Linked DNA regions of Mus musculus. The protein of the gene in region 1 interacts with the protein of each later gene in a pairwise test. Links are inferred from orthologs where the notes say so. Each region holds a gene or a part of one and is shown in the gene's direction. Other genes may lie near its edges.

Region 1 (4,121 bases):
CCCACTGCCCGCCCTCAGCTCTCTGTATCAGTTCTTAGATGCTTTCATTCACGTGACCATAAAACCCCAAGAAGGGACCCTGATCCCACAGTATCACATTGGCTCTGACGGACTCCCCAAGAGCCTCACTAACAAATCCTCCTGCATGTTTTTTGGTTAGGTTTTATTGCTGTATTGTAAAGACCATACCCAAGAGCAATTTGGGAAGGAAACTGATTTATTTGCTTTACAGATTACAGTCCAAAGACATTTTTAAAAAGAACTGAAGTAGAAGCCACGGAGGGAACGCTGCTTATTGGCTTGCTCCCTGTGCTTACAGCACCCAGGACCACAGGGGGAGGCCCCACCCACAATGGGCTGGGCCGTCCCACATCAATCATGAATCAAGCAAACGACACCAGTCTTGCCTACAGGCCATCCGATGGAAGCACCGAGTCCTTTTCCTAGATATCTCTAGTGTGTATCAAGCTGACAGGGGAAAACAAAAATAAGTCCAGCCAACAACAAAACCCACCAGGACCCAGCCTTTTAGGGTATTAGAGAAAACAAATTAGTTTCAGAACCAGAGATGGCACCAGACTATGTATAGATTTGTAAGATGTGTAAAAAGATGACATATGCTCTTTGTGGGTCGCGTTGGCACACGCCTTTAAGGCCAGCACTCAGGAGGCAGAGGCAGGCAGATCTCCCGAGTTCGAGGCTAACCTGGTCTACACAATGAGTTCCAGGACAGTCAGGGCTACACAGAGAAACCCTGTCTTTCTTTCTTTCTTTTTTTTGGGGGTGGGGGGTTTCGAGACAGGGTTTCTCTGTGTAGCCCTGGTTGTCCTGGAACTCACTTTGTATGTAGACCAGGCTGGCCTCGAACTCAGAAATCCACCTGTCTCTGCCTCCTAAGTGCTGGGATTAAAGGCGTGCGCCACCACGGCAGGATGAGAAACCCTGTCTTGAAAATTCACAAAACCAAAACCAAATCAAACCAACAAGAAACCCCAACTCCGTTCTTTCCCAGCGACAGAGAAATAACTAGAGCAAAGAGGAGAACAATAAAACTGCTTCCTGGAGAGAACTCGACATGGGGTCGCGAGGACATTTTAATCTCTCAGTGTCCTCGTGACGCTGGTAACGCCAAGTAAGACTCCAGTGCCTGGCGACGGCTCGCCCTGGAACGAGACGGCCACTCAGCCTCAGTTCCGATGGGAACCAGAAGCAGCGCGAGGCGGGATCACCGGCCCTTCCGGGTTGCAGACACGCCCCCTCCGGCGTGAAGTCGCTGCCGGGGCAACAGCGCGCCACTTCCGCCTCTGAGCGATGACGTATTTCCGATGCGCCGGTAAAGGCCACATCCGGGTTTGGGCTGGCGGGACCCTCGCAGATTCGGGGACGCTGGGCGAAGGCTGTGTGGCTCTCGCGGATGCTGAGCGAGGTGAGCAGGCGGCGGGGTGGCGTCCCGGGAGCGCGGGCTGAGGCTCCGAGGCTCCGTGACGACGGCTTTACGGTTTCCCTGCGCTCCGGGCCCGCTGCTGACATTGAGCTGAGCGTCTCCTGTCCCCTGTGCTGGGGAGGTGGCGGTGCTGTAATTGAGTGGGCCTAGGGCTTCCTGCTCCTTTGAGGAAACTCAACATGTGCTGGTTGCTGGGGTCGGAACCTGTTGAGTTTCGCCGGTGCATAGTGAGGAGGAGGAGGAGGAGGAGCAGCGGGGGGGGGGGGGAGCTGTTAGTCACCGCGGAGCCGTTTTCACGCTGTCAGTCACTGGTGTCACATAGTGAGGATGTTACTGTGCAATGCACACAGTGTCGGGTCGGGACCTTTGAATGTGATAACCACACTCACAGGTGTTCATAGAGGCGCGATTTAGACTCAGGCTGGGGTGTTAAGTGTTAATGATTTTCACAATCATTTTGAAGGATTCACTTCGCAGTCCTGACTTGTAATGAGTGTGAACCTGAAACCCGATCATGGAGTGGAAGAAGATGCTTTTTTTTTTTTTTCCTTTTTCCTCCCTTTCCCCCCGTTTCTGTTTTTTGTTTGTTTGTTTGTTTTGTTTTTTGTTTTTGTTTTCAAGACAGAATTTCTCTTTAGCAGCCAGCCCTGGCTGCCCTGGAATTTGCTTTGTAGACCAGGCTGGCTTTGAACTCAGACCCCCCTGGTCTCTGCCTCCCTACTGCTAGAGTCAAAGATGTAAGGGTGCTGTTTCTTGAGCACCTACTGGGAGCGGAGCTTTCGTTGTTGTTTTGTCGGTTTTGAGACCAGGCTGGCTTTGAACTTAGAGAGATGGATCTGCCTCTCTGCCTCCAAAGTGTTGGAGCTTTTGTTTTTCGAAAGTATCATCTTAATCAGTCCTTACAAGCTTCTCCTGGAACTGAATGAATGCAGTTATGAGAGAGAGAGATGAATAGCTACCTGGGTAGAACACTGTTTTTTCCCTACCCTCTAGGAGTGACTGCAAAGTGGCATTCAGAAAGACTGCAACCTTCCAGTACCGTAGAAGCCGTTCAGGGAAGGAAACCTTCAGTCCCGTGGAAATAGTATTTCAGAAAATGCTCTGAAGTTTCCCTGGAACTGCAAATTGGCTAGATACAACTTTTCCTGGAGAAGTAAAAAGACCAACCTGGTTTCTGAGGTAATAACATTTAGAGCTGTTGCTTCCTTTCTGTGGCATATGTGCCTGTCATTCTGTGGCCCCGCCCCACGCGTGCATGGTGATTGACTCTGACAAGGCATTGTGCGTTAGGCCCCCTTCGGATGGCTGGGTCTGACTTGTCTCACTTGTCACGGAGCTGGTCATTTTGCCCTTTGTTTAATGGCTGCTTTACTGAGTTGGATCATGAGGCTCATTAATAGCTTTTTGACACTGGCGGATCTTCTGCTAGCCCCAGGTTCTCACAGTGCTGTTCTTGTCACCGTCCTCTAGTGACTGGCCATGTCTCTGTCCCACTTGTACCGGGATGGCGAAGGCCACCTTGATGATGACGATGACGATGAGAGGGAGAACTTTGAGATCACCGACTGGGATCTCCAGAATGAGTTCAACCCCAACCGGCAGCGCCATTGGCAGACCAAAGAGGAGGCCACCTACGGGGTGTGGGCGGAGCGAGACTCGGACGAGGAGAGGCCCAGCTTTGGAGGCAAAAGGTACTGTGTGCTGGGCTGCATGCCCTGGGTCTGGAGGATCGGGAAGGCATCCCAGAAGAGTTTTCTGCCCTTGTAGAGTCCGGGTGCTACAGCATCTTGCTATGTGTTGTTGAGCTGGGGTGGCGAGCTCCCCCTCAGCAGTTACTGTGTGATGGGATCAGGGCTACTTATGGATAGGGAAGTGCTGACCCACCACAGGCATGGCAGCTGTGGGGCCATGCTGTGTCAGGGAGCACTCACAGGGCACTAGAGAACAGGGAGTTTAGAGAGGGTGCTCTGGAGAAAACGCTGTTGGACCAAACGGAGGTAGAAAAGTGAGTAGGTCCACAGGGGAGAGTGGTAGTACAGCCTGGGGTCCACATTAAGATGCTGTCTCAAGTCTCCCCACCTAACTACACTCAGAATGTTTTGATTAATTTTACTTAGGATTTTTATCTGTTTGAGTTGTTCTGACTTTTATCCTTGAAATAGTATCTAAAACAAACACTGTGTGTGTGTGTGTGTGTGTGTGTGTGTGTGTGTGTGTGTTTACAGGCATGCTAGATAAGTGCTGTACCACTCTAAAGCAAAGCAGACACTAAGCTAACACAGTCTTTTCAGTTGTAAAAGGGGGCCCAGTTTGATGCCTCGGAGGTTGTTGCCATGCACACCTGGCTAGCTGGGTTCAGTCACCAGATTCCTACAGGGAAGGGGAAAGGGACGAGATGCTCTACAAATTGTCTGCACAGAGCAATAATGGCATTTTTGAAAGCGTCCAAAGGAAGTAAGATTATTACATCCTAGTCTGAATTTATACTCAACCCTACTGACAGTGGCAAATCTTCAGTTATAGTTTGAATCGAACAGACCCCACGAGTGTAAAATGTGGGCTGGAAGAGGACCCAGGAGCAATTGAGATTGAACTCAATTGCTATTGCAGACCTGAGTGTGGCTCCCAGCCAGTGCCCACCTCAGGCAGCTCACAAGTGCCTCTAATTCCATCTTCA
Region 2 (2,895 bases), on another chromosome or scaffold:
AATCCCAGCACTCTGGAGGCAGAGGCAGGCGGATTTCTGAGTTCAAGGCCAGCTTGGTCTACAAAGTGAGTTCCAGGACAGCCAGGACTATACAGAGAAACCCTGTCTCAAAAAAACAAAACAAAACAAAACAAAAAAAAAAACAAAAACAAAAAAAAGAGTTTGTAATGGCTGGGATCTACATACAGAGACAAACTGATAGAAGGGGGAGGGGAGGAAAACAGACCAGCATTAGGACTAGAAAATGGGTGCTTAGGGGCTTATTACATACACTGTTTCCTCTACATCTGAGTGTTTTATATGATAAGTTTAAAGCCAGGCGTGGTGGTTCATACGTTAGACTCTGGGGTCCATTGATTATGGACTCTAGGCAAGTTAGTTACTCTGTCAGTTTTCCAATCACTGGAAAGGAATGAACAACTATAGGCCATTCACAGGGGTTTTGTAAGGTTGGAAGATGATCTCAGTAGCACAGAATGACATAGAGTAAGCCCTCAGGCAGTGTGGTGCAGGGAGCCTTCAGTCAGGCAGTGTGGTGCAGTGAGTCCCCAGTCAGGCAGTGCTGTGACCCCAACAGGCAGTGTCATGCAGTGAGCCCCACCCAGGTCAGGCAGTGCTGTGACTCCCCCCAACCCCCGCCCCAGGCAGTGAGGTATAGTGAGCCCTCAGGTAGTGTGATGCAGTGGGCTCCCAGTCAGGTAGTGCTGTGACCCCCTCCCCCAGGCAGTGTGGTGCAGTGAGCCTGCAGTCAGGCAGTGTGGTACAGGGAGCCCCTAGGCAAGCAGTGCAGCGAGACCCCCCCCACACACACACACACACACATACACACACACACACACACACACACGCTGCAGGCAATACAGTGGGCCCGCAGGGAGTGTGCATGCAGAGTTGTGATGTGGTGGTGGCAGTGGTGGTGGTGATGAGCACTGTCATTTTCTCTACCTCTTTTTGTGGTTATTTTGTTTTATTTTTTCTTTTAGAGACAAGAGTCTCTCTCCACAGCCCTGACTGGGCTGGAACTCACAGATCCTCTCTCTGCCTCTGCCTCTGCCTCCTCTGCCTCTGCCTTTCTGCCTCTGCCTCTGCCTCTGCCTCTGCCTCTGCCTCTGCCTCTGCCTCTGCCTCTGCCTCTGCCTCTGCCTCTCTGCCTCTGCCTCTGCCTCTGCCTCTGCCTCTGCCTCTGCCTCTGCCTCTGCCTCTCTGCCTCTCTGCCTCTCTGCCTCTGCCTCTGCCTCTGCCTCTGCCTCTGCCTCTGCCTTTCTGCCTCCAGGAGTTCTGGGATTTAAGGCCTGCCAGGCCATTTTCTCTACTTCTTATTGCTGGTCTCTGGGAACCAAAGGACAAGCTCCATATGGTTGCTGGGCTACCTTTGGGGCAGATATTCTGCTGAAGGAGCCACATTCCCCTCTTCTGGCTCTCCCTTCCTAGCCTCTTCCTCATCCTCCTCTGTGCCACTTCCTCCCTAGGAGGCCTGTAGCATCCCGGGAATTGGCAAGCGGATGGCGGAGAAGGTCATGGAGATCCTGGAGAGTGGGCATCTGCGGAAGCTAGACCACATCAGTGACAGTGTGCCTGTCTTGGAGCTCTTCTCCAACATCTGGGGAGCTGGGACGAAGACTGCCCAGATGTGGTACCATCAGGTCATGCCAGCCCGCCTGCCTCTTAAAGTATTGCTGTTACAGAGTCTCTGCCCACACCCCTTCCTGTTCACCTGCAGGAATCTGGGTCCCTCTGTTTTCCCACCCTGGGCCCTCATGGGAGTGAAATCCAACTACAAGGATGCCAGAGTTCACATTGGTCCCCCTCCTGTCCCCAGAACAGCCATGTAGCTTAGTGTCCTTGACCTGTGGACAGAAACAATAAATACATTACTCTGTCCCACACACCAGCAGGGATTTGCTGTTGTTATGTTTGTGTGTGTGTGTGTGTGTGTGTGTGTGTGTGTTTGTGTGTGTGTGTGTGTGTTTGTTTTAAAAACTATATGTCACCATGTAGCCCTGGCTAACCTAGAACTTACTATGTAGACCAGGCTGATCTGCCTGGCTTCAGCAAGGGACTTTCTCAGGAGCCCAGGCTTTGGGCTCCATGTCTCGAACAGTGGCTCTCAAACTTGGCCATGCCAAGAATGATCTTGGGAGTTAGTGAGCGTGAAGCCCTGACCCATTTTAGACCGAGGAATGAGGGACCAGCATGCCCAGATCACGTCCCACTGAATAGAGGCTGGACTTGATTGGTCCTGCCTTCTGTCTTCCATGGCAGCTGCTGTGACAGCCACCCATGACTTCTGGCCTGTTTATTAGTCCTGGGTCCTCATAGCCTCTTTTCTGGTTGCTTTCTTCCAGGGCTTCCGAAACCTAGAAGATCTCCAAAGCCTGGGCTCCCTGACCGCTCAGCAGGCCATTGGCTTGAAGCACTACGATGACTTCCTGGACCGCATGCCCAGGGAGGAGGCTGCGGAAATTGAGCAGACGGTAGGCACAGCTCGAGCCAACAGCTCCTGAAGCCCTAGCTGGGCAACCCCACAGGCAGCGGAAGTTAAGAGGTCGACAGAGATTGTGTCTACCAGAGCTGTAGGTCCAGGAACCCCAGGTGGGGTGGGCACTGCAGTGGCAGCCCTCTGGTCTCAGGGTCACTAAGCATGAACTCTGGGCACTAGTCGCCTAGCATGGGGCAAGCACAGCCTCAAGGCCTGAGTACAATCAAGGCCTGAGTATGTCGTTCAGAGGTAGCGCTCCTGAGCATGCCTAAGACCCTGCCCATCCTCAGCATCACAGAAAGGGGGAAAAAAAAAACAAACAAAAAACATCTAGTTGGCCAAGAAATCAGGTTTAGCCAAGTTAAAGGTTCAGCTTAGAGCTAGGGGCTGAGTCTGTAAGTTCATGTGCAGGGTTG
Region 3 (3,500 bases), on another chromosome or scaffold:
GAAAGCAAGATGGAGGACGATTTTCTGGTCTCCTGGGTCAAGGGGCTACAGTAACAGCTAAGCACAGACAGACAGAGGTAGAGTCTATGTCCACAACCTTCCCTAACTCCTCAGAGGTCAGGGACCCAGGTTTGCCTGAGTCTCCTCCCCCAGGTCAGCGACCCAGCACAAAAGCTTTGTCTCCAGACCCTCTCTTGAGACTGTTGACTACACAATCCGAGGATACTCAAGGACCAGGTCTCAAGATGCCAAGTCAGCGGGCACGGAGCTTCCCCCTGACCAGGACCCAGTCCTGCGAGACAAAGCTGTTGGATGAAAAGGCCAGTAAGCTTTACTCCATCAGCAGCCAGCTATCATCTGCTGTCATGAAATCCCTGCTGTGCCTTCCATCTTCAGTCTCTTGTGGCCAGATCACCTGCATCCCCAAGGAGAGGGTGTCTCCAAAGTCACCTTGCAACAACAGCTCAGCTGCAGAGGGTTTTGGTGAAGCCATGGCCTCTGACACAGGGTTCTCTCTCAAGTGAGTGTCTGTGCCCTGCTTGATCTCCACTGCCCCCATTTTTCTATTTTATATAGCATTTAAACATTTCTCAGACGCACTGGTTAAAAAGATCATTTCATCTCATGTGTGTGTGTGCATGCAGATCTGTGTGCATGTGTGTATGTACACATGTGCACTGGAGTTCTGTCTTCCATGTTAAGAAGTAGTTTACATAATAGCCGACCTTGGCTGGGATGAGAAGTGGGGGATATGTTCAGGCTCTTGGTAATCTGCTCACAAAGATACAGGAGGCGAATGAAAAGTCCACCTTCATCTTAAGGAGCTCTGGGTGAGGCCAGGGAATGCTCCCCAGTAAGAATCTGTCTTGATCTTCACATGGGCCTAGGACCTGGGCAGTGAGTAGGACATTTAGTCTTGTTTCAGCTCAGCCTCTAACTCTAGGAGCAGAGTCCTGGCTTGTACAGCTGCCTCCCTCTTTAGGTAAAGTCAGGAGGTAGGTGAGACCAGCTTCATTTTTGTGAGGGCTAGTAGGGGGTCCAAGGTCTTCTGCTGCAGGGCTGGGTCTGGGTTTTCCCTCTTGAATCAGCTGTGATTTATTTATTGTTTGTGCTGCTGAGAGTGGATATGTCATAACAGAGTTCCCAAATAGCATGTAGCTAACAGAGCCCCTGGCAGGATAGAGTTGATAAAAAATCTTGCAACAGAGAAACCCTGTCTTGAAAAAAAAAAAACCAAAAGCCAAACCAAACCAAACCAAACCAAACCAAACCAAACCAAGCAAACCAGAAAAACAAAATACCCCCAAAGAATCTTGTTTTTCACACCGTGTTATCTCTGCTTGTGAAAGCCTTTCAGAGCTGAGAGAATATTCAGAAGGTCTCACAGAGCCCGGGGAAACCGAGGACAGGAACCACTGTTCTTCTCAGGCCGGCCAGTCGGTTATCTCCTTGCTGAGTGCAGAAGAACTGGAAAAACTCATTGAGGAAGTGAGAGTTCTAGATGAAGCAACATTGAAGGTAGGTTTCCTGCATGCACATCTGTAGGGACAAGGGCTGTTGTTTGTCATCTTAGCTGACCCAGAGGGGAAGTAGCTAAAGAAGTTTACGGTTTGTAGCTTAAGGTTTGTTATGGTGTTGGCTGGCATCAGGACAGGTTTTGTCCTGTCAGTGGTAGAGGGACACCATGTCACTTGACATAGCAAGTGTTAACACCTGATTTTAGCTGGGATGGGAAGTGTTTGTGTGTGTGTGTGTGTGTCTGTCTGTCTGTCTGTCTGTGTCTGTGTGTGTCTGTGTCTGTGTTTTGGAGGGACATGGCCAGGCCCCTTGTCCTGGCATCCTTTGCCATTTTATGGCTGAGAAGGAAGATCCATGGTCACAGAGCCAGGGTGCTCTGACTCTAAGGTCATGCCAAGTGCTATGCCAACATCCCATGGGCTGCTAACCTGGCATGAGTGTCCAGAGAGAGAACCCACATGGTGTAGCACTGCCAGTGGTGAACAGCATAGACGCTTTGGTTATTTCCTCTGCCCACCTCAAGGTGAGCTCAGGAGGGTCTGTGTGCCTCAGCCACATCATCCCGAAAGGTCCACTTCCCATGTAGTCGCTGAGCTCAGCCAATGGTGTGTATCGAGGAAATGGCCCAACCAGAGCTGGAGCCAGCAGTCAGGAGGTGGCCTTGTGAATCTCACTCTCTGGAAACCTCTTAGGCTCTGTACCCTGTACCTGAACTGGGATAATGAAAACTGGGAAGCAAGGAGTCCATTTTTACTGGAAGAATTACAGCTGCCCTTCCAAGGTCAAAGGTGTGGTAGTAAAGTCTGATGAACCCATGGTACCTTGGGGCTGTGGTTTCTCAACCCAGGGTCTCACTAATCACTTGTAGCCTGCATGAGCCATTGATCCCCAGAGCCTGAGTCAATAAAAATAATATGCTGGAAGGAAAACTTCAAGTTCAGAGCTGCCTATCTAAAGGGTCAGTAAGAAGACTTTGTTTCTAGTATGGCAACCACTCACAGGAGAAATAAACACACACAGACACACACAGACACACACAGACACACACAGACACACACACACCCCAACTCCAAATAACCTGATATAAGTGGGTCAGTGTGGGTTGATGGGACCTTCACCCTCTGGTCCCTCCTCTGACCTGGGATCTCCACATTAAGAGATGGAAGAAGACCTGCAAGTCAGGGACTCTGGTAGCTCACAGCCAATGAACTGCTTTGCCATGTTTTTATTTCCTAGTGCCATATACAAACTAGTGGCCCAAGAGCTATGGGCCTGAAAATAAAATTTACTGGATCTTTTAAAGTGTTTGGTTGTCCTAAGTCCTGCTATTTCTGAGTGTTTTGTTTAAAGGGAATGAGCCAGTAGTGGCAGGATTGCCTTCCTCTGAGGTAGCCAATCCTAGTATGCAGATGTGTTTGGCCTGCCCTCTTTGTGCCTTTCACTCATGCCTGTCCACCTTGCCCACGTATGTGACCTCCATCGCTGTTGTGGGCACTGGGGCTCCAGGATTCAGCTTGAGAGTAGAATGGGAGCCTCTGCCTTTGGAGAGTGTGAGAAAGTTGTCCTGGATCCTGACTGGGAGTTTCTGTTTGTGCCTGTTTCACATTTGTACTGCATGTGTGACAGAGCGAGATGCCAACTGGGCCCTTTACTGCTGCTATGCCATGGAAGAAGGAGCAGCCAGCACCTGTGAAACAGCGCTGACCTCTGAGAGGTTGACCCAAAGCCTAGCACCGGCCCTTGTCTCAGAATGCCATGGGAAAGTGGCATCTTCCAGCCTGCAGGGCTCTCTAGCTGACTTTGCAATGTGCAGTCCAGTCTATGGGAAGTGGGTGTGAGTGGGTGAGTAGGAGCAGAAGAGAGCGGGCTTGCTGTTTTACATACATTTGTTTACCCTCGTAAGCTTCCTGTAATTCCTGCGCGATGAAACTGAAGTCTGAGGAGGTGGTAGTACTGGCCCAGCTGGTGTTTAATAAAACAAA
Region 4 (3,500 bases), on another chromosome or scaffold:
TGAAGGAGGACTGGAGGACCCTAGGGGACCAGCACAGAGAGCTGGAGAGCCAACTGCATGTGCTTCAGTCCAAACTACAGGTACCAGGCCCGGCAGTGGGAGAGGAAGGGAGGCAGAAGGGGGGAGAGGGGTCTGCTGAGAAAGGAGTCTCCTAGGTTGGGCCTCAAAGGTTGGATACACGTAACAAGCAGCTTTCAAGTCTTCATCCACTGCCCACTTAGTACCAGACTCACTGTTTTGCTCTGAATCATAAGTGCGTATAGAGGGAATGCCTACACTGTCCATGCAAATGAACTAAGTACCCACTGGAAAGACATTAACCAAATACAAATGCCTGAGTTGGGGCATTCATTGGGTTGATTGGCCTACCAATTGCACACTATTCAAACACCACCCCAGCAGGGCACTCAGTGCATAACTGCCCATTGTTTTGTACATAATAAATGTTACTGGTTTATTTACAGGTACTAACACATCCTGCTGGTGTGTTTCTTAATAAATTTCAGTAAATTCTTGTCATGCTCAAAAGTTCCTACACTTTCAATCTGCCACCTTAGAAAATCTAATTAATCTACATTAATTAATTAATGTAGATTAATTGATTCATTTATAATTAATTTAGGGTCTTTTGTTGCATGGATTAAATGTGACTACTCACACAACATGTGTGGCATAGTCTGGTACATATGAGCACTTCACTCGGGTTAGTAATTACATGGAGGCCTGACATTCCACGCTCCCCAAAGCATAGGAATTAATCCACTTGGGCCAGTCAATCTTCTGGCTAATGAACCACCCCTCAGGAAGGCAGATTCACTTTAAGCCATGCCAAAGAAGGAAAAGTAATTATTCTTTTAGTGAGATCATGTACTTCCCCTTCCTAGAAAGCCTGAGCCTGGTGTGGTCACTCACAGAGTCATGGCCACGCTACTTGGTCAAGCCTGACCAGTCCTCTGAATTTCTCAGAAAAATGTAACTTTTCTTTTTCACATCTTCTTTCTTCCTAACCCTTGCTGAAGCCTAGGTGTGCTTCCACAACACTCCTGGCTTTCTCACTCTTCTTTGATGTTACCCTCTCCGCATCCCCTTTGCCATATGGCTGCGTGCCAAACTGCCGAATCCCCATCCCTAACTCAAAAGGCATGACTTTCTTTCCCTCTTCTCCACCTTTATCCTCCAGGCAGCTGCTGACATTCACAGGATTCCCAATCTGCCTCTGTTGTCATTATTACTGTTTTTGGCTGTTTTGGTTTTTTTTGTTTTGTTTTGTTTTGTTTTGTTTTTAGTCTTCTTCAGAATCTGCTCTTAATATTTTTAATGTTAACCATCTTTCTTATTTTTATTCTCAAGATTCTAATTACATTTCTCCCTCCTTCTCTCTCCCTCCAAGCCCTCCCTATCTCCCTCCTAGCTCTCCTTCATGTTCACAGCCTCTTTTTCATCAATTATTATTTAATGCATATGTGTGCATGCATATATATCCCTGAATATAATCTGTTGAGTCTATATGTTACTTGTATGGATATTTTCATTACCTATAGTTCTCCGTGTAGGATTGAGGCCTCATGGGCTCTCTCCCTCATCTAGTTTGGCACACCCATTGGTGGCCTCCTTTTCCCTTCACATTTGGGCAGCCATGTTGGTGAGACTTTATGGGTATTGCTTCTGACATTACTAGGAGGCACAATCTCACAGAAAACTCCCTGATCTTACAATCTTTCTGCCCCCTCTTTTGCAATGTTCCCTGAGCCTCAAGTATGGAGTTATTTTATAGCTGTATTCATTGAGACCAGAATCCACAGGTATGCATTTTGATTGATAGTGGTTTTCTGTAGTGGTCTCCATCTGTTTCAAAGAGAAGTTTCCTTGATGTGTTCTTAACAAATCTAAGAACTCAGAGAGGAGACCCTATTTCCCTAGTAACATATGGCACCCCAGGTGAGCCTCCCCAAAATCTCCAGTTAACACATAGATTTCACATACTTAGTTTGAAACTTTGAAGATCTGCCCTAAGAGTGAATCTTTACAATTTCCCCAAACATGAATCAGGAAAATATATATATATATTTGATGAAAGAGGGTGTGAGACATTTAGAGGCACAAATTTTACTGGCTACACACAGCATCCACATCTTAACCTCTGCTCTCTTTTCTCATCATGCATAAGGCAATTCTTAGGAAAGTGTTTTGAGGTTTTTAAACCTTAATTCTTTGTGAAAATAGCCTTAACTGCCCCTCTCCCTCAACAACTGGTCATGCCAAAGTAAAAAGAAAGTAAAACATCTAGAAAATTCTGGCTTGATGTGGAGATCTGTCAAGGCATCGAGACATACATATCCCCATAAATATCAAGTCAGAGGCACTGCCATAAACATGCAGGATAGGGCAGAACAAAGAGAAGGGGAGAGCTTCCATTTCCTGACACCCCATCTCAGTAATCCTACTGTGTCCTGTTCCATGGTACCTGTCTGCTCTGTCGCCAGCCACACTGACCTGCTGCTCTGTGGCTCCTCTCCCTCCTCTTTGCAGGGAGCAGACAGCAGAGACTCACAGATGAGCCAGGCCCTGCAGCTTTTAGAAAATGAGCACCAGGAGCTGCAGACCAAACTCGAGAGCCTGCAGGGAGACGGAGAGCAGCAGAGCTCTGAGACCCAGGACCTACAAGGTACTCCTCTTCTTTGAGGTCACAGGGTCATTAGAACCACAACTGAATGGGCTCAGAGGAAGGAGGCTATGGGGAGAAGCTTTGCTCCTCATTTGTGCTTGGTCCCATGATTTCATTTCTCCTTGAGGGAAAGGCAGAGAAATGTCAATCAACCAAAATGAACCTTAGTTGTCCTTCATCTGAGGACTCTGCATGCTCTCTCCTCCAGCTTGACCCTGTGGGCCATACCACAGCTGCTCCCATACTAGTCACATGCAAAGGCCATATTCCTAATTTGAAAGGGAAAGGTTAGTACAAACACAGGCAAGATGAAGGCCTCCTAGATGTGCCTCTGTGGGCTGAAAGGACCCACTAGTGTGTGTACACAATATTGTGATGTTCCTGTGTGAATGCTGGCCTCTCCCTTCAGATCTGAAAGACACCTGACACTCCCAGGTCACAGAGGACAGGACTTACCTCTCATTTCCACCCTCTGGTGCTCTCCTATTTCTGTTTGTATTCTTTCGCTTTCAGATCAACTAAAGAAGTCAGAGGAAGAGAAACAGGCCCTGGTGAGCAAAGTACAACAGCTACAGAGTAAGTTTCCTTTTCAGGGTTCAACCTGCACAGGTGGTTTCTGTTGCTCCTGACCACAGAAGACCTTCGAAGGAGGGAGGGCTGAGCCATGGAGGCTTCAGTGTGTCCTGTTTCTGAGCATCCTCGAGCACACTTCCTGCAAGGGGCTGGGCTGAGGGATCATCTGCACAACCCTCCACAAGTTATATGGTTTCTTTCCCATGTTATTACATTAGCATCTGTCCTTGTGTTTCCTTTCTATGTGTGTGTGTGTGTGTGT
Region 5 (3,500 bases), on another chromosome or scaffold:
CTGACTTCAAACTTGCAGCAACCTTCCTGCCTCAGCTTCTTGAGGGCTGGGATTACAGGTGTTCACCACCACACTCAGTTTGGTTATTTATTTATTTATTTATTTATTTAGGGTTTTTTTTTTTTTTTTTTTTTGAGACAGTCCCCACCTGTAGTTTAAGCTGGCCTGAAATTCGATATATATCTTAGGTTGGCCTTGAACTCATAGCAACTCTCCTACCTCAGCCTCCTAAATCCTAAGATCACAGGCATGAGCTGAGAAACTTGAACTTTAGGGAACCACTAAGAAGTGTGTGGGGGGTGAGAAATATGTGTCCTAAGGGAGTAGGGGGCTGGGGATAGAGATCTGGGGTCCCTGAATGAAGAGAAGCAATGGGCTCTCTTTCAGTGCTGGGTAGGATGGGGAAGGCAGGAGACAGGGGTAGATAGAATTGTAAATTGTCCAGGCGTTTGGTCCTTTGGGCTTTTAGAGGTCTGGGTGGGGGTGTCCCCACACCAGTGGAGAATGTATGTCTGATGCGAGTGACCTTTTTTCCCCCTTTTCTCCACCTCAACTTTCCTTCACTCTCCTAATGTCCTCCCCCCAGCCTTGGGCTCGCAGGCTGCTTCTGGGTTTCCTCTTAAGGATGCCAAGCCTCTCTCTACCCAACTCTCTCTAATTATCTTTTTGTATTCCCCCATTGCCACCAGAAGAAGAGCGCCCCAAACCCAGGTGAGGTGCTACAGGGTGGGTGTGGGTTACAAGCCTATCTTCTCATGCTCCTCCACCAAGAGAGACAGGGCAGAGAAATCAAAAGGCAGAGAAATCAGGGCTTGAACACAGCCAACCTTAACTCTTAAAGCAAGAAGTTGAGGACCTTCCTACATTGTGAAACAGGTCAGATATAAAAATAACAGCCTGGGTTCTAGAAAACCATGCAAGGGGACTCTGTGTTGGCCCAGGGCCAATCAAGGAAGGCTTCCCGAGGAGGTGATAACCTGGACCCTCTCGATAAAGACCTTGCTAGCTGAAGGAAAGTTGTAGGCAAGGACAGTCATTTCTTACACTCAAAGTGAGTGGTTATGTATAAAACCCACTCTGGGTGCAGAACCAGGCCATCGTGAGAGTATGGTTAAGCCAGGGAGGCCAGTACAGGCTGTGGAAGCTAACTGAGCTAAGAGGAGGCCCGGAGAGGCCAGGGCTAGAGCTTAGGGACTCTTGGAGGAAGGAACGCAGTTACAGAGGTTCCAGGTTGGAGAGCTACCAGGGAAGGAATGCAGGAAGTGAGGGCCCTTTCCAAGGACTTTTGGGACCGACAACACATGGTCCTTAGAGACACCAAGTGGATGAGCCCTGCCAAGGCAAGGAATGTTCTGACACATGAATTATTCGGGAAGTTTCTGCTAACTTGGGCCTTGGGAAAGAGTGTTTGCCAGGCAAGGTGTTGCTGCATCCTCGGAAGAGTAGTCTTGGTGATTCTGAGTTCAGCATCTGTGGGTTTTGCTGATCTTAAATCATAGCTATTAAAAGAAACTGTAGGTGACCCGAGCACGCAGACGTTTTTCTTGTTACAGCTGCGCACTGTTGCTGTTAAACAGCCAGTAGTACAGCGTTAGAGCAACCAGGCAACTGTAAGTTGCTTAGAGAATAGCGATCTTTAAAGTCCATGGCCTTTAGCATGCGTGATCCCCGGGCTTCATCCTTACCCTTGAAATAAAATCTTCAGGCCTGGAGAGATGGCTCGGTGGTTGAAAGCACTGACTGCTGCTCTTCCAGAGGACTTGGGTTCAGTTCCCAGTATCCACGTGGTGGCTCACAAACATCTGTAACTCCAGTTCCAGAGGAGCCGATGCCTTCTTCTGGCACTTGGCCATACACGTGTTACACAGGCAGCAGGCAAAACCTCATACATACACATAAAATAAAATGGTTAAGAAGAAAGTGAAGTATCTCAGAGCAGTGCAAAAGGAAGAGCAGTGCTTTTAAACTGTAAGGCCTTTATTACGTATTTTGCGTGTGTGAGCACAGAGGTGTGTATGGTGCAAGTGTGGGGTGCAGAGGATGATTTACAGGGGTCGGAACGCAGACAATCAGGCTTGTCATGGGGGTCTTTGTTTGCTGAGCTACCCCTGCCTGCTTTTTATGCAGAGCATTCAATATATGGCCTCGTATGTTTGAGACAAGCATTCCGTCTTGAGTCACCCGCAGCCCCTCACTGGGGGAGTCGCCCCCTGCCTCTCCCTGGGGGATTCTTGTCAGGCATTCTACGGCCGAATCTCATCCCTAGCCCTGTTGTGATTTTTCATTTTGAGGCAGTGTCTCTTAAGTTTCCATGGATGGCTTTAGATTCTCTCTAGACCAGGCAGGACTTGAATTTGCCTCAGACTTCCGAGCAGCTAGGACAACAGATCTGTGCCACCGGGTCCTGCCAGTTTTTACAAGTATGTCAAAACAGGCAAAACAAAATACTCAAACTGTATTTCCCTGACTGTGGTCTCACACAGACTCGGGGGCCGGTGGGGGTGGGGGTGGGGGGTGGCTGTCATTTTGAACAGCGTGTGGTAAGGCAGAGGAGGGAGGCCAGCCTGTTGATGATCTCCAATTCTATCGACACAGCCGTCCTGTGGTGCCTCCTTTGATTCCCCCGAAGATTCCAGAAGGGGAGCGTGTGGATTTTGATGTAAGTGACAGATGTCCTACCCCAGAAGCAGCTGCAGGATTCTTGGCGCCTTGAGCCTATTCTGAAAAGTGCCCTTCTATGCTTCCTTCATGAAAACCCTGGGGGTAACCCAGGGTCCTGTTATTAGCAAGGAATGCTTTGCTGACATCTGCTGGAAGCCATCCCAGCTGGCTGTCAGTCATCACCTAGGGCTGGGGTGGGGCAGGCTCCAGGGCCCTGTCCGGCGGCCTCACGGGCTCCCTCTTCAGGACATCCACCGGAAGCGCATGGAGAAAGACTTACTGGAGCTGCAGACGCTCATCGACGTGCACTTTGAACAGCGGAAAAAGGAGGAGGAAGAGCTCATTGCACTAAAAGACCGCATTGTGAGCCGGAAATCCGGGTCCTCTAGTTACATCTATCTCCCGTTCCCTCCCTCCATGTAGTGCTTTGGGGTCTCTGGGAGAAACAGCGGGGACATTGGGCGGGTCCACTCCAGTATCCATTTCTACCAGGAGTGCATTTTGGAGGCGGAGGCAGGAAGATTACCATGAGTTCGAGAGACTGTCTCAAAAAGGACAATTAAATAAAAGAAACTATCCTTATTTCGTTCGTCTACTGGTGGAGGGACAACTTGTGGGAGGGGATAGCCTCCAAGAACCCCCACATTCCCTGCCCCAATCTTCCCCTTAATACCCCTAGGAGAGGCGACGCGCAGAGAGAGCTGAGCAACAGCGCTTCAGAACGGAAAAGGAGCGAGAACGCCAGGCCAAGCTGGCGGTAGGTGTCTGTCCTTTCCCTATAGGAGAATACTTTATTTCCCATTTTGATACTCTCTACGGTTCTCAGAAAGTCCCTGTAA
Region 6 (2,557 bases), on another chromosome or scaffold:
TTAAGATGGCTCCTGGGGTAGAGGCACTTGCCGTGTAAGCCTGATGACCTGGGTTCAATCCACGGGCCCATGGAAAGGTGGAAGGACAGAGTGGATGCCACAAAGTAGCCCTCTGATCTCCAAGCATACTCTGTCATGTGCATGCCCTTCCCTCATACTAAATTAACAAGGGTATAGCTCAGTGGTAGACCGCTTCCCTAACACGTCTAAGGGTTTGAGTCCCCTCTGAAACAAAACTTAACAGGACAGTAGTGGTTTGAGAAGGCTTACCCCCTATCTTTTTTTAGGATACTGCCTAACACCCTCCTTTTCCCACAGAGCCACCCTCCTCAAGGTCCGTAACACCATCAACAGCCACGTGGAGCAGGTGTTTCAGGCCTACGAGCAGCATGCGGCTGTGCTAGACATTGACACCGTCCTGCGCCCCTCAGTTGTGAGCCCCTCTGTGGCTGACATGTTGGAGTGGCTGCAGGACATCGACAGACATTATGGAAGCTCATATCCTTCGAGTGCTTCCTGACTGACTGCCCAGAGCCGCCCCTAGAGGCTGCAGCAGGTGCAGACTTCACAGGGTCAGCAGGCTGTATAATTCACAGGGTCAGCAGGCTGTATAATTCACAGGGTCAGCAGGCTGTATAATTCACGGGGTCAGCAGGCTGTATAATTCACGGGGTCAGCAGGCTGTATAATTCACGGGGTCAGCAGGCTGTATAATTCACGGGGTCAGCAGGCTGTATAATTCACGGGGTCAGCAGGCTGTATAATTCACGGGGTCAGCAGGCTGTATAATTCACGGGGTCAGCAGGCTGTATAATTCACGGGGTCAGCAGGCTGTATAATTCACGGGGTCAGCAGGCTGTATAATTCACGGGGTCAGCAGGCTGTATAATTCACGGGGTCAGCAGGCTGTATAATTCGTTGCAGTTCTCTAGTGCTCAGACTTGGATTCTTCTTGCACTTGTCTTTTGTTAACTAGTCATTCCTTAGAGTTTATTTATCTGCTAGGCACTACTCTTAAGTGCTGGGAGCAGGCATAAAAAGGGGGACTGCATAGTGTCAGATGTGGTGAGTGTTAAATAAGGCAGAGAAGGTGAGGGGGAATGTGATTTTAATAGTGTGGTCAGTGCAGGGACCCATGAGGCAGTGACATCCTGAGACAATGATGCTCACAGCATTTGAGCCAAGTTTGCAAGAGGGAAGGAATGAGCCATGTGGGTGTTTGGAAGAAGAGTGGTCCAGGCAGAGGCTACATGGCGTGAGCTTGTCTGGTACATGTAAGAACTGCCATAAAGCCAGTGGGGGCAAGGGCAGGGCAGGGCCGGGCAGGAGGAGAGTGACAGAGGGCCTTGATTTTTGAGAAGGATCTTGAAGGTTTTGGCTGTTACTCTGAAGTCAAAGTTCTCAGAAGCTTTAAGCAGAACCATGTGGTCAAGGCCTGTGCTTAACAGTGCTGTGTTCTGAAGAACAGTTGGCATGGCGGGAAGCAAGCCTGAGAGCAGGAAATTAGCCGCAGTCCTGACCTTTTCTCCATTCGTGCCCATGGCTGTCATCTGACCCTGGTTTTGCTCCTGGTCTTGAGTCTCAGTTTCCTGTGCTGCCTCCAGCTGGCTCGCTTAGTGAACTCCAAATTCAAGTTTAAAGCTGAACATGGACCAGCAATGCCCACTGTGTTACTGATTTTCATGTTGTGATTAATATCGAACACGAAGCAGGACAGACAGATTTATTTCAGGTCATAGCTGAGGGATATGTCCGTCACGGAGGGAAGCGCACAGAGACAGGAGCTTAAGCCACTGGTCACATTGCGCCTGCATCAGGACGCAGGGACTGCTGACTGCTGGCGCTCTGTTCACTTTCTGTTCATTCTGGGACCCCGGCCTGTGGACTGACACCGTCCACATTCAGAGGAGTCCTCCCACTTCAGTTAAACCTTTCTAGAGACAACATCACAGATGCAACCTGTATCATGTTTCCATGACGATTCTAAATCCAGACAAGTTGACAAAGGAGATTGTCACCCAATCTAGATATGTAGGGACGATCTTCCTCCTGTCCCTCTGTTTCCTATTATAACTGCAATAGTGGTACTAGGTGTGCTAGTGGCGCCGCTAACCCTGATATCGCTAAGCACTGCCATAGGCTAGGCGCTGGAGGCCCTGGTTGGCTCTACTCTCCTGCCTTGATTTCTAATCACATTACTGAGATGGACCACATTCAACAGTAGTCCCATAAGAGCATATGACCTAGTGACACAGATATCTTGTAAGTTCCTTTTTCTTCTGAGCAGTCCTTAACTTCTGGGAAGGTACCTGAAGAGAAAGTACCTCCTCTCCTCCATCCACTGGGGAGACTTGGCCAGCATCCAAGCACTGCCCAAGGCCTGGGACCAGATTTCAGAAAATGAGTGCCAAACTCTTGTGTCAGGTACTGGTGTCCGTCAGTCCTGTGCTGCCTCTCTGGAGAGGTTAGACACACCCCCTCCGTGCTCTTGGGCCTTGATAAACCTGATGCTTTGTCCCTTGCTTCCTGTTCTAGATGTCCTGGTGAGTGTCTCCTT
Region 7 (4,190 bases), on another chromosome or scaffold:
GGTGGTTTACATGTGAAACTACTAGTTATTTTGTACAATTGCTCACAGACAGCATCCCGGCTTTTATGGGATGGGAGGAGCTCCAAATCAGAGAGCACTCTGTTCCTAAACCAGTCGCTTCGCTTTCCGGGACAGGGAAGCAGAATGCCATCAGCTCTGCAGCTTCGGGTTGCTAGCAAGAAAGTGCAAACACGGGCCCTGCCTCCCAGTGGAAGGAGAGGGCAGTCCCTGCCAAAGCTGGGATGAGAGAGTCTGCACCCAATCTCTGCGACACGGAGGACTGGTGGCCGCTTGGCTCAGCCCCACCCGAGACCGCCAGAAGCGGCCGAGCTAGCCCAACCTGCGAGCAGGCGGGACGCGGTCGACACGGGGCTCGCCCATATAATGCCCGGGCCCTGGCGGGGAGCGGTGCGCTGAACGACCGGCGCCCACCGACCTTGCAGAGCTGTTGGCCCTGCGAGAGCTCCTCGAAGGGGTAGCGCTGCGTGCACTTGGTGCAGGCGTACAAGGCCGACGCCGCCATCCTGCTTTCCGGCTCCTCCGCGCGCGCTCAGGCGGGGCCTCCGGGAACTCGGCTGCCCCGCCCGCGGGCTCTTCTGCTGCTGTGGCCCAGTCCCGGTAACTGCCGGGTCCCCTGCGTCTCCCTCCGCCTCCGCCGCCGTCCCGGGACACCTACTGCCGCCCGCCCCGCCGCTCCCGTTTAGGCCCGGACCGCGGCGGAGGGAGACGAAGCGGGAGCTAGGCGGTGGATTCCGCTTCCTCCTCGGTCTCGCGTCCCTCTCTACGATTGGCTACAGAGAGCCTTACGTCACTAGAAAGCTCCGCCCAGTCCCTGGCCTAGGTTCGGCAGGGAGCGCCCACAAAGAGAGAAAGTACCAACCAATAGGAAGCCGCCGCTCTCAGAGCGCGAAATCCGCTTTGAAAAGATCCCGCCCACAAGCCACGGCCAGTCGTCGTTTGGCTGGTGCGCTTGAGCCCATTGGCCAGGGGGTCCACGAAACGCCGCTTTTTTTCAGTCCTTGGCTTCCATTGGACCATATCCTTAAGCCCCTCCTACTTCTGTTTGTCATTGGCCGAAAGGTCAGTACATCAAATGGAGAAGCAACGCTCTCTGGAGTTTATTCCTGGGATGCTGATGGAGTATGTCAACTTTCCATTCTCCTTTATTCAGCTTCCGTCATCCGCCTCAGCAGGCGCTGAAGGTTCCAGAAGCCCTAGCCTTTGCTTCCTCATCCAGAAAATCCATCCCTTTTCAGACGCTCCCAGAGCCGTCTGTCAACTCAGACGTTGCCGTTCCCGCAGGCTCCGCGATGCGCTACCTTGTGACGTCACCGAGAGAGGAGGCGGGCTCTTCCCTGCCACCAGAAGTTGTCCTCTTTTCTGATTGGTCACTGGAAGGCGTCTATCAAGACGCGTTGCCTTTCCCGTGCGCGCTGAGTGTGGCGTCCTTGTGGTTTGCGAGACCGAGGCTCCTATAGGGTTCGCAGCTCGCCCGCCCCTTCCATCGGGGACTTGGATTCCGCTTGCCCCAGGCGGGCGGCTGTCGAATCCGGAGGAGGAGCTCAAGGACGGCGTCTGGGGTTGCGCAGGTGGGAAGATGGCGGCAGCCTCGGTCTCGGCGGCTTCTGATTCTCAGTTTTCGGTAAGGGGCGGCAATCGCGTGGGTTCCAGGTGGGCCTGTACGGCTCTCCGGGTTGCCTCACTTTTCAGGGGGCCCGCGATCTGGCGTCAGCCCTCGTCCCGCAGGATGGCGGGCTGCCCGAGGCCGCGTGCCACTCCCGGAGGCTGCAACTGTGTTTTCTGGAGCACCTCCTTTTCCACCCTGCGTTCCCTTGTCCTCTCAGCCGGTGCTTTGGAGCGTTGTCCCGAGCCTGGCTGGTGCACTCTCAGGCCCGCTAACACAAAGCTCTGTCGGTCACGTGAGCGTAACGGCCCGTCTCGGAAACTCACTAACAGGTAGGTGTGCAGGTTTGTAGAGTGGCAGCCGCTGAGGCGTCCGTGGTCCCCAGAGTGCGTTTTCGCCCTTGCTGCCGTGCCTCTCTGTTTGTTGCGCGACCCTTGCAGGCGGAGCCCGGGCATTCCCACTTCCCATTACTAGACTCTGTATGGAAAAGTTGCTCTGGAGAAGCGATCGGGAAAATTAAGCCTGCGGGTTTAGTTAGTCACTGATGTTTTAAGAGTGGATTGTGGCGCTCAGTCTTTTGGAAAACGCTCCAATAGGAAGAAATAAGAATTAAATGTGAGAAAACTGGAGTTCTTTTTAGAAATGTTCCTGTACTTAGCCGACCGTTGGTCCTAAAGTTACAGGAAGGAATTGAATAGAAATCCCACTCTGAAGAAGGAGCAAAGCACTGTACTAATTAGATAATTACTGCGCTGCAGGTTTTGATACCAGAGGCGTCTGGGGGAGATTGATTAGCAGTATTAGGGAAGATAGGATCTTGAAAGGAAGATAAGCTAGCTGCGTGTTGAAGGAATTTAAGAGAAGAAAGCACTGCAAGTTTTTTAAGGTATGTGACAAGACAATAGGTAATTTCCGGACACCAGAGGGTAATTTCGAATGTGCAGAGATTATATAAAGGTAGAGTTGATAAAGAAGAACTAGAAAAACAGGTGAAAATTGAATAATGAGGGATGTCAGGAAATTTTCTGGGTAATTTTAACAGCTGATGAGGAAGAGGGCATAGAGATTACCAACACCTTCAGAAAGTCTCACTTAGGAATCTCAGCAGTTTGGACTTTCTGTGGCTACTAGAATTTGTGATAAGGTCAGAATATTTCAAGTTTTTCAAATAGTGGGGTATACCTTTGCCAAAGAACTAGAGGAGATTAAGGAGAAGAGTTGGAGCAAGCATTTGGGAGTTAGTTCCTTGCCAGATAAATGAAAGATAAAGGAAAAACTATCAGAACTAAGTGTCAGCGAACACGTGAATTATATAAGAGATACAGTTGATTAAACTGGAGAAAGGAGAGCTCTCTGCTCTCAAAACTTAGAAATTGGAAACTTAGTTGAACTGCACTGCAGGGCTACTACCAAGGCAGTGCCACCGGGATGTAGTTAATCCCTAGTCCTTATGGTAGCCCCAACAGAAATCTAAAGCCTGTTTAATGGAAAAATGGATCTTGTGACTCTGTGTCTGGAATTGGAAACAGAAGAGAAACTCTTCTTTACTCCACCGTAGTCCATGTATATAAGAGTAGGCTTGGAGCTGCATTGATAAAAAGGTGTCCAGAGAATGCCTTAGTGTTAGGCTTGTGAGCAGGCAACTGAAGGGAAGAAGGGAGCTTTGCAGGCAGAATAATTGCAGCAAATGAAAATAAGAGTGTATTGTGGGTGTTTGAAATCAAAAAAGTCCAGATTGCTGAAAGACTGGTAGGGAGACAGTGTCAAAACACAGTGTCAGGAAATGAAACAAGGGTCAGCCCGGCACTACATTACATGGGAGGTTTATACATTATGGGAAGGATCATTGTCATTAGCAAGCTGTTTGGAAGAGCATACTTAAGAAATGTGCAAAATAGTATTTCACATAATTCAAACTAAAAACATAACTAGCAAAATGGCAGTATAAAAGATTCTAAATATGTTATGGAAAAAGAACCCTGAATGATTTGCAGAGGGTAGATAAGAGGTGAATGAAAATTACCTCTTATTAGGGTTTATATAGAGCAATTTAGTAAATAGCAGTGCCACTTGTTTTGGTATGGTGGGAGAGGAGCAGATTTGGAAACTAACCAAGAATTGGGTTATAGCCATTTTATATTTTAGGTGCCTATTGAGACATCCAAGTAGGCAATGAATAATGTGAGTTTAGAGTTTTAGATTCAGATCTCAATTCTGTATTTTAAACTTGAAAGCTACTGAAAAAAATAAAGAGCTGAGAGTAGATGAGACTTTCCAAAAGAATCCTTGTAGACAAAAAGGAACTTTGAGGACCAAGCCTTGAGGAACTCTGGCATTTAATAAAAGTGGTTAGAAATCCAGGGGGTTTTCAAGGAGAGGCCTGTGGGATTAAGGGACAGTCCTTGTTGCTTCCTCCACTGAGGGTTTAGGTGAATGACAGCAAAGTGAGCCATGCTTCGGAGAGATTGTTGAAGTTAGCAATGGAGAGTAATGGGTGTGTTTGATGAGCTGTTTGCGTCTTTGATAGTTTTTATTAATTGTGTGCATGATGATGCCCCTACCTCTT

The links.
Region 2: the proteins of Tfip11 (region 1) and Poll interact in binary tests that used the Homo sapiens proteins (3 or more experiments, as listed by UniProt). The two-hybrid records come from large-scale screens. The link is inferred for Mus musculus from reciprocal best matches to the Homo sapiens genes TFIP11 and POLL.
Region 3: the proteins of Tfip11 (region 1) and Il16 interact in binary tests that used the Homo sapiens proteins (3 or more experiments, as listed by UniProt). The two-hybrid records come from large-scale screens. The link is inferred for Mus musculus from reciprocal best matches to the Homo sapiens genes TFIP11 and IL16.
Region 4: the proteins of Tfip11 (region 1) and Traf3ip3 interact in binary tests that used the Homo sapiens proteins (3 or more experiments, as listed by UniProt). The two-hybrid records come from large-scale screens. The link is inferred for Mus musculus from reciprocal best matches to the Homo sapiens genes TFIP11 and TRAF3IP3.
Region 5: the proteins of Tfip11 (region 1) and Tnnt1 interact in binary tests that used the Homo sapiens proteins (3 or more experiments, as listed by UniProt). The two-hybrid records come from large-scale screens. The link is inferred for Mus musculus from reciprocal best matches to the Homo sapiens genes TFIP11 and TNNT1.
Region 6: the proteins of Tfip11 (region 1) and 9930104L06Rik interact in binary tests that used the Homo sapiens proteins (3 or more experiments, as listed by UniProt). The two-hybrid records come from large-scale screens. The link is inferred for Mus musculus from reciprocal best matches to the Homo sapiens genes TFIP11 and AIRIM.
Region 7: the proteins of Tfip11 (region 1) and Cep57 interact in binary tests that used the Homo sapiens proteins (3 or more experiments, as listed by UniProt). The two-hybrid records come from large-scale screens. The link is inferred for Mus musculus from reciprocal best matches to the Homo sapiens genes TFIP11 and CEP57.

Annotation. Positions count from the first base shown.
Region 1 is NC_000071.6:112,325,048-112,329,168, forward strand, and holds the start of Tfip11 (tuftelin-interacting protein 11), read left to right. Parts: upstream 1-1,321; 5' UTR 1,322-1,426; intron 1,427-2,437; 5' UTR 2,438-2,623; intron 2,624-2,914; 5' UTR 2,915-2,923; coding exon 2,924-3,135; intron 3,136-4,121. UniProt on the Homo sapiens protein: Involved in pre-mRNA splicing, specifically in spliceosome disassembly during late-stage splicing events. Intron turnover seems to proceed through reactions in two lariat-intron associated complexes termed Intron Large (IL) and Intron Small (IS).
Region 2 is NC_000085.6:45,554,670-45,557,564, reverse strand, and holds part of Poll (DNA polymerase lambda), read left to right. Parts: intron 1-1,469; coding exon 1,470-1,643; intron 1,644-2,345; coding exon 2,346-2,474; intron 2,475-2,895.
Region 3 is NC_000073.6:83,648,899-83,652,398, reverse strand, and holds part of Il16 (pro-interleukin-16), read left to right. Parts: coding exon 1-520; intron 521-1,349; coding exon 1,350-1,518; intron 1,519-3,500. UniProt on the Homo sapiens protein: Interleukin-16 stimulates a migratory response in CD4+ lymphocytes, monocytes, and eosinophils. Primes CD4+ T-cells for IL-2 and IL-15 responsiveness. Also induces T-lymphocyte expression of interleukin 2 receptor. Ligand for CD4.
Region 4 is NC_000067.6:193,181,047-193,184,546, reverse strand, and holds part of Traf3ip3 (TRAF3-interacting JNK-activating modulator), read left to right. Parts: coding exon 1-80; intron 81-2,529; coding exon 2,530-2,665; intron 2,666-3,178; coding exon 3,179-3,241; intron 3,242-3,500. UniProt on the Homo sapiens protein: Adapter protein that plays essential roles in both innate and adaptive immunity. Plays a crucial role in the regulation of thymocyte development.
Region 5 is NC_000073.6:4,509,476-4,512,975, reverse strand, and holds part of Tnnt1 (troponin T, slow skeletal muscle), read left to right. Parts: intron 1-689; coding exon 690-711; intron 712-2,595; coding exon 2,596-2,659; intron 2,660-2,907; coding exon 2,908-3,024; intron 3,025-3,340; coding exon 3,341-3,418; intron 3,419-3,500. UniProt on the Homo sapiens protein: Troponin T is the tropomyosin-binding subunit of troponin, the thin filament regulatory complex which confers calcium-sensitivity to striated muscle actomyosin ATPase activity.
Region 6 is NC_000070.6:124,940,048-124,942,604, forward strand, and holds part of 9930104L06Rik (uncharacterized protein C1orf109 homolog), read left to right. Parts: intron 1-318; coding exon 319-498; intron 499-2,305; coding exon 2,306-2,424; coding exon of another isoform or gene 2,425-2,535; coding exon 2,536-2,557. UniProt on the Homo sapiens protein: Part of the 55LCC heterohexameric ATPase complex which is chromatin-associated and promotes replisome proteostasis to maintain replication fork progression and genome stability.
Region 7 is NC_000075.6:13,824,308-13,828,497, reverse strand, and holds the start of Cep57 (centrosomal protein of 57 kDa), read left to right. Parts: upstream 1-1,390; 5' UTR 1,391-1,597; coding exon 1,598-1,642; exon of another isoform or gene 1,643-1,956; intron 1,957-4,190. Other genes in the region: protein FAM76B, read right to left, coding at 437-523. UniProt on the Homo sapiens protein: Centrosomal protein which may be required for microtubule attachment to centrosomes. May act by forming ring-like structures around microtubules. Mediates nuclear translocation and mitogenic activity of the internalized growth factor FGF2, but that of FGF1.